Linked DNA regions of Mus musculus: region 2 is reported to be linked to region 1. The links are microRNA targets in miRTarBase. Many come from high-throughput screens and were not tested one by one. Region 1 holds a microRNA gene; the other region holds the end of a gene's coding sequence.

What was found. The annotated mature microRNA mmu-miR-802-5p reads UCAGUAACAAAGAUUCAUCCUU and lies in region 1 at 1,902-1,923, shown strand. An mRNA with a match to its seed (bases 2 to 7 or 8) in the 3' UTR can be bound and repressed. Matches are read on the target gene's strand: a 7mer-m8 pairs with bases 2 to 8, a 7mer-A1 pairs with bases 2 to 7 and ends in A, and an 8mer does both.
Region 2: miRTarBase lists Slco1a1 as a target of mmu-miR-802-5p. Seed matches in the 3' UTR shown: 7mer-A1 at 458-464.

The regions. Positions count from the first base shown.
Region 1 is chr16:93,367,836-93,372,407 of GRCm38, forward strand. It overlaps Mir802 (microRNA 802), which reads left to right and starts at 1,885; the gene lies at 1,885-1,981.
Region 2 is chr6:141,905,235-141,909,234 of GRCm38, reverse strand. Slco1a1 (solute carrier organic anion transporter family, member 1a1) reads left to right here. Exons shown (of 14, transcript NM_013797.5): 14 at 105-1,954. The coding sequence ends at 324. Gm30843 (a long non-coding RNA gene) reads right to left here. Exons shown (of 4, transcript XR_378120.4): 3 at 115-283. Among named protein-coding and RNA genes, the nearest start is that of Gm30843, 31 kb to the right of the region's middle.

The sequences.
Region 1 (4,572 bases):
CCACGCCAGACACACACATGTGCATACACACACTAGTTCCAGTGATAATCATGAAGCAGAATCCATATGAGCCCTTTCAGACAGAGGTTAATACAGTGAAAGAGGTACAGAGATACTTGTAAAAGGAAAATTTTAAAGGCAACATCCACATGAGTCAGTCTATGAATTATTTGTGACTTTTGACTCTCCGGCCACATGACAGTAGAGGAGAAATAAGCAATCCTTTAAAAAGCCAAAATGTCATTACTTAAGCCAAGCCCTGCCTGAACTGTTCTAATTGTATCTAAATTGTTTCGTAGGTTCCTCTCTCGATAGTGTGATGTGGCAGGTGCCCCGGGCCTTTAGCTTGCTAATCAATTATTAATCCGGGAGTTAATAATTCATGTTAATTGGTGCTATAAGCACTTTCTCTGGCAAATGTGAGCAAAGGTCACAACTTTTAACAGCAAAGGGGAAACATTCTCCAAGTTTCTTTTTCCATGGCCTATCATGGAAATACCAAGATACGGAAGACAAAATTTAACCAGAACTGGGAAAGCAAGATAGCTCCACAGCTGAAAGATTAGACATCTCTCTGGGGGACCAGCTCTGTTCCACAGCCTGCTGGAAGGAGGAGAGGTCTCCAGGGGACAAGGGACAGGACTTCAGCCCCACAGGAGCGCTCCACTCCGAGGATGCACTCTCTAGGCAGGTTTGTGGACCTTTGTCAACAAGATGAGTAATATAAGTCCTGCTAGTCAGAAAAGCTTTTCTTCAGAAAACAAAAGGAAGCATTGGAGAGGCTAACTCTCTTGTGGGTTTTTCATAGGATGCCTTTTCGAAATTGTAAGACTAGAGGACACAGTCCATCCTAGGATAGCCACAGAAGGAGTTCCTAGCAAAACCTCACTACCGTTGAGCACTTTGACTTTAATGAATGTATGTACACTCTGAGCTCTATTTCCAGGAAGAAGACGGGGTGACTCCTCATTGCCACCGAAGGCAAACAAAAAATAGCTTCTTACTTCATCCGCCCTGGACTACCTTCCCAGCCCACTCCTTTGCCCTGGGCCTACAAGGCAGCCACCTAGGCCTGGGCGCTGCGTGTGTTTGATCCCCTTTGAGCCTTGATAATTATTTGAAAGGTTTGTGTCAAATCCCAGCCTGATGTGATGAAATAACTCGTTCCCATTTGGAGAATAAAACTATTCCTGGTAGCTTTTTACAGCCTCGATTAAAAGATAGAAGTCAGCTATGCCGAGAATGATTGCTGCAGACTTGGGATAAGGCTTAAATGGAAACCACAGGTTCAAGGGTGCCAGGGCCGGGAGGCCAAGCTCAGACTCTTGTTTTTTCTAAGGGGAATGTCGGTAACATATGCTTTCCATTGCTCCACTTTTGACCATTTACATACTGGGGGGCTGTGTGGTTGGCAGCAGGTCCTATTTTTAGGAGTCCTTGAAAACCTTCCCTTTTTAACAGTTCTCATTCTGGCACATACCTGTGTTTTAAGCAAAAGGAAAACCCAAATCCAAGATAGGAAAAGAGAAACATGTGTACAGACACGGGGGATTTTTGCAGCCCTGGAGTCACACAATAAGAAAGCAATCATTCAGCTACGACTTTAAAGATGGATCGTTGCCCGAATTTTCCGACTATTTTCCTTCTAAATGACTGTTTCTTTACAGATCTAAACTAATGTAAAGAGACAGGTTGTCCCCGTGCCAGGAGCGAACAAGCAAAGTAGGACAGAGGCTGTTTTCTAGGGAAGGAATGTGGCAAGATAATGCCTGCTCTGTCTCCCGCAGCCGCTAGCTCAGGCAGAGACGGAAGAGGATACTGCCTGCCCACGGCCTGGTTGTGAGCACAGGCTCCCCACCTGACTCTACATAACCTACCGACTGCGGTCCTATTATTTGCAATCAGTAACAAAGATTCATCCTTGTGTCAATCATACAACACGGAGAGTCTTTGTCACTCAGTGTAATTAATAGCCTTCACCTCGAAAGGGAAGATGAGAGGACGCTGTTCGCACGTGCCTGGGGTGTCCTCGGAGGGCGTTTCTCGTGGATAAGCGCTGCCTTCTGACATAGTAAGCCAATGGAACTCCAGCTGCAAGGGGGAGGTGGCAGGGGCGGTGGAGGTGAGGTAAGCTGAGTGTGTTTGGGGAGGCTGGGCAGGGAGCCCAGTCAGCAAGTGCTCATTGAGGCCCTGAGCTCTGTCCCTGGAACCCACATTAAAAGACATACATGTGATCCAAGCACTGGAGAGAGAGGGGACAGATCCCTGGGGGCTGACTGACCAGCCTTGCTAAATCAGCAAGCTCTAGACCAGCGAAGACCCCATCTCAAAGGCAGTGGACAGAGCCTGAGGAATAATACCCAAGGTTGACCTCTAACCTCCACATGCACAAATGCATGTGTGCACACACGTACGCTTGCCTGTCCACACACTAACATGCACATATGAGTACTCATGCACTGACACTGTAGCCTCTACAAGGGCCTACTGCAAACCACGCTACCTATTCAGTCAGGAACCTGTCAGAGAAAGGTAATAGGCTCAGACTTCAAAAAGACAGCACTGAACACAGGCTTGAAGGTCCGAGGAGTGGTGTCCCGTATACAGTTGTTGTGCCAGTCAAGAATTAAGACAATCCCCCACAGACATGTCCAAGGCCAGTCTGGGCTGAGCGCTCCCTCACTGAGATTTCCTTCTGAGGCAGGCAACCGTAGCCTGGGACAACTTTACAATTTATTCCAACTTGGGCTCTGTGCTTCGTGACAAATATACCATTTTATTAAAGAGGATTCATTGTGTACTTATTTGCAAGTATGACTTTAACTCCTCATCCCGGCACACCATTTTTAGCTGACAGAGTCCTAAGTGTTTAAGAGAGTGAGTGTCCGCATCCCTCCACCCCAAGCTCTTTCTGACGCGTACTGTTGCTTACTATCCGAGTGTGCATACTATCCGAGTCTCTGTGTATATATAAACATGTTCATTTGTGTGTGCATGCACACAGGTGTGCAGGTGTGTGTACACATGGGAGCACACGTGTGTGGAGGCCAGTGCTGGTGTGGGAGTCTCCTTTGACCTCTCTTTACCTTATTCTTCAAGGCAGGGTCTCTCCATTGACCACAGGGCTAATCAGTAGGGCTATCCAGCTTGCTCCAAGGACTCTGTCTTTTCTTTCTGGGAACTAGAATTATAGGGGGGGGTTATCATGGCATGGACAAGTTCAGGGGATCTGCACTAAAGCCTGCATGCTTGAGTGGCAAGCACAGTTTCCACTTAACCTATTTCTCCAGACCACACCAATGTTTAATCTTGAGGACAATGTAGATTACTGTGACTGGGAATAGACGCAAGCACACACACACACACACACACACACACACACCCCACACATGCATGCGTGCATGCATGCACACACATGCACACACGTACATACAAATGCATGCACACACACGTGAGTACTTGAGGCCGAGTTCTTTGCCTCTTCTCCGCAGGGAACCAGGTAAATCTGAGACCCATCTTAGGTCGTTCACATCATCGCAGTCAGAGCAAATGCTGCTGAAGAGACCGCATGCAGTCACCTGGGCTGCCTCACCATTCCAAATACGTCCTCTTCAAGGCCATGCTTGAACTGTACCACATGGCACTCTCTCTCTAAATCCACTGAGAATAATGCCTTCGGCCAGTGTTCCATGGTTGTTTAAAACCTTTCACTACCTCTCTGTTGCGTATACTATACACCTGTGCTGAACGCTAGGCTGGACAGATGGATCTGGGACACCCCAGAGTCTCCATTCCCAGTGGCCTAGTTCTCCTGCTCTCTGTCTGAATACAAACACTGGAGGCTGGTGCCGTTTTGTGGTAGATTCTATACAACAAACAGAGTTATTAGGACAACAGCAGAAGCCAAATCACATCCCTAAAGTAGCTTGTGAGCTTGGCCAAGGTCTGGCTTTGCACTCATCGGTCAACATGGGCGCTGTGTGGTGACGGGTAACTGCACTGTCAGCCAGACAGGATTTAGAATCACCACAAAACACATCCCTGGCTGTGTCTATAATGTGTTTCCTGAATGCTTTGCATGAACAGGGAAGGTCCACCCCAATGGGAGCCAGGGTCGCAGGCTGTGTGAAAAGGAGAGGGTGAGCTGAGAGCCAGACTTCAGTCCCCTCTGCATCCTGACGCCAGGTGCACTGTGAGCAGCGACCTGGTGTGCCTGCTCCATGGCTTCCCCACTGTCACAGTCTGCACCTCAGACCCTGAGCAGGAGAAACCCTTCCAGGCCGAAGTTGCCTTAGTCGGTCAGGTGTTTTCTCATAGCAGCAGGAAAGTGACCATCACCGCTGGACCACCAAACCCAGCAGCCTTTGCTCTGTGTTCTAACAGGAAGCTCATTCCGGCCTCTCAGCCACAACACCTTTGCAGTTACTCATCTGGAAACCATGGATTCACAAATCCCAGGCGTTACCACGGCGGCGACATCTTTCCGTCTCACGCCTTAGTCAGCTCTAGCTGTATTACAAAACACTATGGGTTTAAACCACAGATGTTTGCTTTCTTGAAGCTCTGCGGGCT
Region 2 (4,000 bases), not on the chromosome of region 1:
TAATCCCTAGATTTTTTTCAAAGAATAAAGGATCTGTAAGAATATACAAAATTAGCTTTCACTAAAAACATTAAAATGTAATACAGATTAGTTCTTTTCAATAGGCACATTTACCTGGGGTTGCCTGCAGCAGTGAGAGGATCAAGCTTTCTCCCCGCAGTCTTCATTCTAATCCTTATGAGGAAATTCCATTTCCCTGGCGACATCCACTCTCCAGACACTGAACTTGCAGAGATGAAGCTCACAGAGAAGGAAAGCGAGTGCACAGATGTGTGCAGAAGTCCTAAGGTCGAGAACGATGGAGAACTGAAAACTAAGCTGTAATGAGTTTTCAACTGGCCTGTGCAAGGCCATGAATGGAATGTACACTTCACTTTCTTTGAATCATGAGAGATATAGTAGGAATCCTCATCTTTAAGGACCTCAACAATTATTTTTTACTCATAATAAAAAACAATTACTGATAGCAGTTTCAGAACATTAAGGTACTACTTCAGATTTTCTCAGATTAGACATCTACGGTGACGCACACACTGAACTTTAAAGCTTCCTTCATTTTCACATGGCATTTTCTCTTTTAACTCAATCAAGGGGAGTTGTGTTTCCTACATATCTTCAAATGGGTTTAAAGTTTTCCTATTCCTGAAACAGCATTCAATTCTACTGAATTTATCCTTCAATGTTGGAGGTATTTAGAACTGAAAATATGCATTCTGGTTGGGACACATTGAAAAAGTTATCTTTTCTATGTTCAAGATGTCTGCATAGGTCTATATCTAGGAGTTTTCAATTTTTTATTATTTTAGACATGAGTTTCTAGGATTAGACATCTTTCTCATGTGTCATCTTCTGTTTTCAGTCTCTCCTTTGTTTAGCCCTGTCACACATTTGATAATTTTGTTTAGAGCACTGACAAACTTAGTCGGGTTATTAAAAATCACATTGCAAAGCTTGTTGGACCCATTTTCCCTAGCAACTCAAAGTCGTTCATGAAAATCTTTCTTCAAAGCAACTATTTGAGAAAGCCAGTTATTTCAAAGGTTCTTTGTAAAGATGTAGTTGTTCCTCAGCTGTACAATGATTGCCTAGCATGTGTGCAACCCTGCATTGAACCAAAAGGTAGAGTAGACTACTGACAATAATAGACAAAATAAAGTAAAATAAGAAATAAATGAAAATAAATCAGAGCTGGATGCAGTAGAAGATATTCTCAAAGACTACTTTCTTATACTCAGGATGCCTCTGACTCAGTGGTCATTTTTTTCATGTGTCCTCAGAACACATGAATAAAATGATAACATATTTAAAAGTATAACTATAATTTTATAATAAATTATAATAAAGTTATAAATTTACAATTAAAATTAAACTATAACATGAATAAAATAACATGACTGTTAACTTTCAGAATCAGAGTAAAACTTTTAAAGTGAGAGCAGGCAGATAGTTCAATCGAAAGGGGTATTTGCCACCAAGCCTCCACCTCAAACTATATATGGAGGCAGGGGGTGGGGGGGAGGAGACAGAGACAGAGACAGAGACAGAGACAGAGAGAGAGTTTAAGCCAAGACTCTTGCTGAAAAAAAATTTGGCTTAATAAAATTCAAAGTATTTGTAAAAAACAAAATCAATTTGTAGTGGTTTGAATATGAAGTGTCCATTCTCAGATAGAACAATAAGGCAATAAGACATTTGGTTTCCTGTTGATAATGCTGCTTAGGGAAGATTGGGCAGGAATATCCTTGGAGGAGGAAATACATCACTGGAATGACCTTTGAGATTTAAAAACCTCACCCTTCTTCCAGTTCATACTCTTCATTGTTCTTTAAAGATATGAAATCTTAGCTTCCTGCTCTAGTCACTGTACCTGCTGCTTGCTATCATACCTCCATGACATGAGAGGCTACAATCCCTCTGAAATCATAAGCCAAAATAAACTCTTTGTTTTAAAGGTAGATTTGTGATGTTTTATCACAGCAATGAGAAGTGACTGATACAGAACTCATCTTACTTTGAGTCAGATAAAGAATGAAGCAATTTTAAGGAACAAAGAGCCTTACTGGGATTTAGACTGGCTAAACTCAAGATAGTAGCATGGTTGTACTACAGCTTAAGGGCAGGCATGGTGATTCCACCAGAGGTTCTCTTATTGTTGAGAATAGTTTTTGCTATCCTAGGTTTTTTGTTATTCCAGATGAATTTGCAGATTGCCCTTTCTAACTCTGTGAAAAATTGAGTTGGAATTTTGATGGGGATTGCATTGAATCTGTAGATTGCTTTCAGCAAATAGCCATTTTGACTATATTAATCCTGCCAATCAATGAACATAGGAGATCTTTTCAACTTCTGAGATCTTCTTCAATTTCTTTCTTCTGATTCTTGAAGTTCTTATCATACAGATTTTTCACTTCCTTATTTAAAGTCACACCAAGGTATTTTATATTATTTGTGACTACTGTGAAGGATGTTGTTTTCCTAAATTCTTTCTCAGCCTTATCTTTGTGTAGAAGAAGGCCACTTATTTCTTTGAGTTAATTTTATATCCAGCTACTGCACTGAAGCTGTTTATCAGGTTTAGGAGTTCCCTGATGGAATATTTAGGATCACTTATATATACTATTATATCATCTGCAAATAGTGATATTTTGACTTCTTCCTTTCCAATTTATATCCTCTTGATCTCTTTTTGTTTTCTAATTGCTCTGGCCAGGACTTCTAGTACTATATTGAATAGGTAGGTAGAAAGTGGGCAGCCTTGTCTAGTCCCTGATTTTAGTGGGATTACTTCAAGTTTCTCTCCATTTAGTTTGATGTTGGCTACTTGTTTGCTGTATATTGCTTTCATTCTGTCTAGGTAGGGGCTGTGAATTCCTGATCTTTCCAAGACTTTTATAATGAAGAGGTGCTGGATTTTGTCAAATGCTTTCACAGCATCTAATGAGATGATCATGTAGTTTGTCTTTGAGTTTTGTTTATGTAGTGAATTATCTTGATGGATTTTCATATATTGAACTATTCCTACATTGCTGGGATGAAGCCTACTTGACCTTGATGGATGGTCATTTTGATGGGTTCTTGGATTCGGCGTGTGAGAATTTTATTGAGTATTTTTGCATCGATATTCATAAGGGAAGTTGATCTGAAGTTCTCTTTCTGTGTTGGATATTTGTGTGATTTAGGTATCAGAGTAATTTTGGCTTCATAGAATGAATTGGATAGAGTACCTTCTGTTTCTATTTTGTGGAATCATTTGAGAAATATTGGTATTAGGTCATTTTTAAAGTTATGATAGAATTCTGCACTAAAACCATCTGGTCCTGGGCTTTCTTTTGGTTGGGAGAATATTAATGAGTATTTGAATTTCTTTAGGGGATATGGGACTGTTTTGATTCTTAATCTGGTCCTGATTTAACTTTGGTACTTGGTATCTGTCTAGAAAATGTCCATCCAGGTTTTCCAGGTTTTCCAGTTTTGCTGAGTGTAGACTTTTGTAGAAGGATCTGATGATGTCTTGGATTTCCTCAGGTTATGTTATGTCTCCCTTTTCATTTCTGATTTTATTAGTTAGGATAATGTTCCTGTGCCCTCTAGTTAGTCTGTCTAAGGGTTTATATATTTTGTTGATTTTCTCAAAGAACCAGTTCCTGGTTTGGTTGATTCTTTGTATAGTTCTTTTTTGTTTCCACTTGGTTGATTTCAGCCCTGAGTTTGATTATTTCCTGCCATCAACTCCTCTTGGGTGAATTTGCTTCCTTTTGTTCTAGAGCTTTTAGCTGTGCTGTCAAGCTGTTAGTGTATGCTCTCCCCAGTTTCTTCTTGGAGGCACTCAGAGCTATGAGTTTTTCTCTGAGGACTGCTTTCAATGTGTCCTATAAGTTTGGATATGTTGTTGCTTAATTTTCATTATACTCTAAAAAGTTTTTAATTTCTTTCTTTATTTCTTCCCTGACAAAGTTATCATTGAGTAGAGTGTTTTTCAGCTTCCATGTGTATGTGGGCT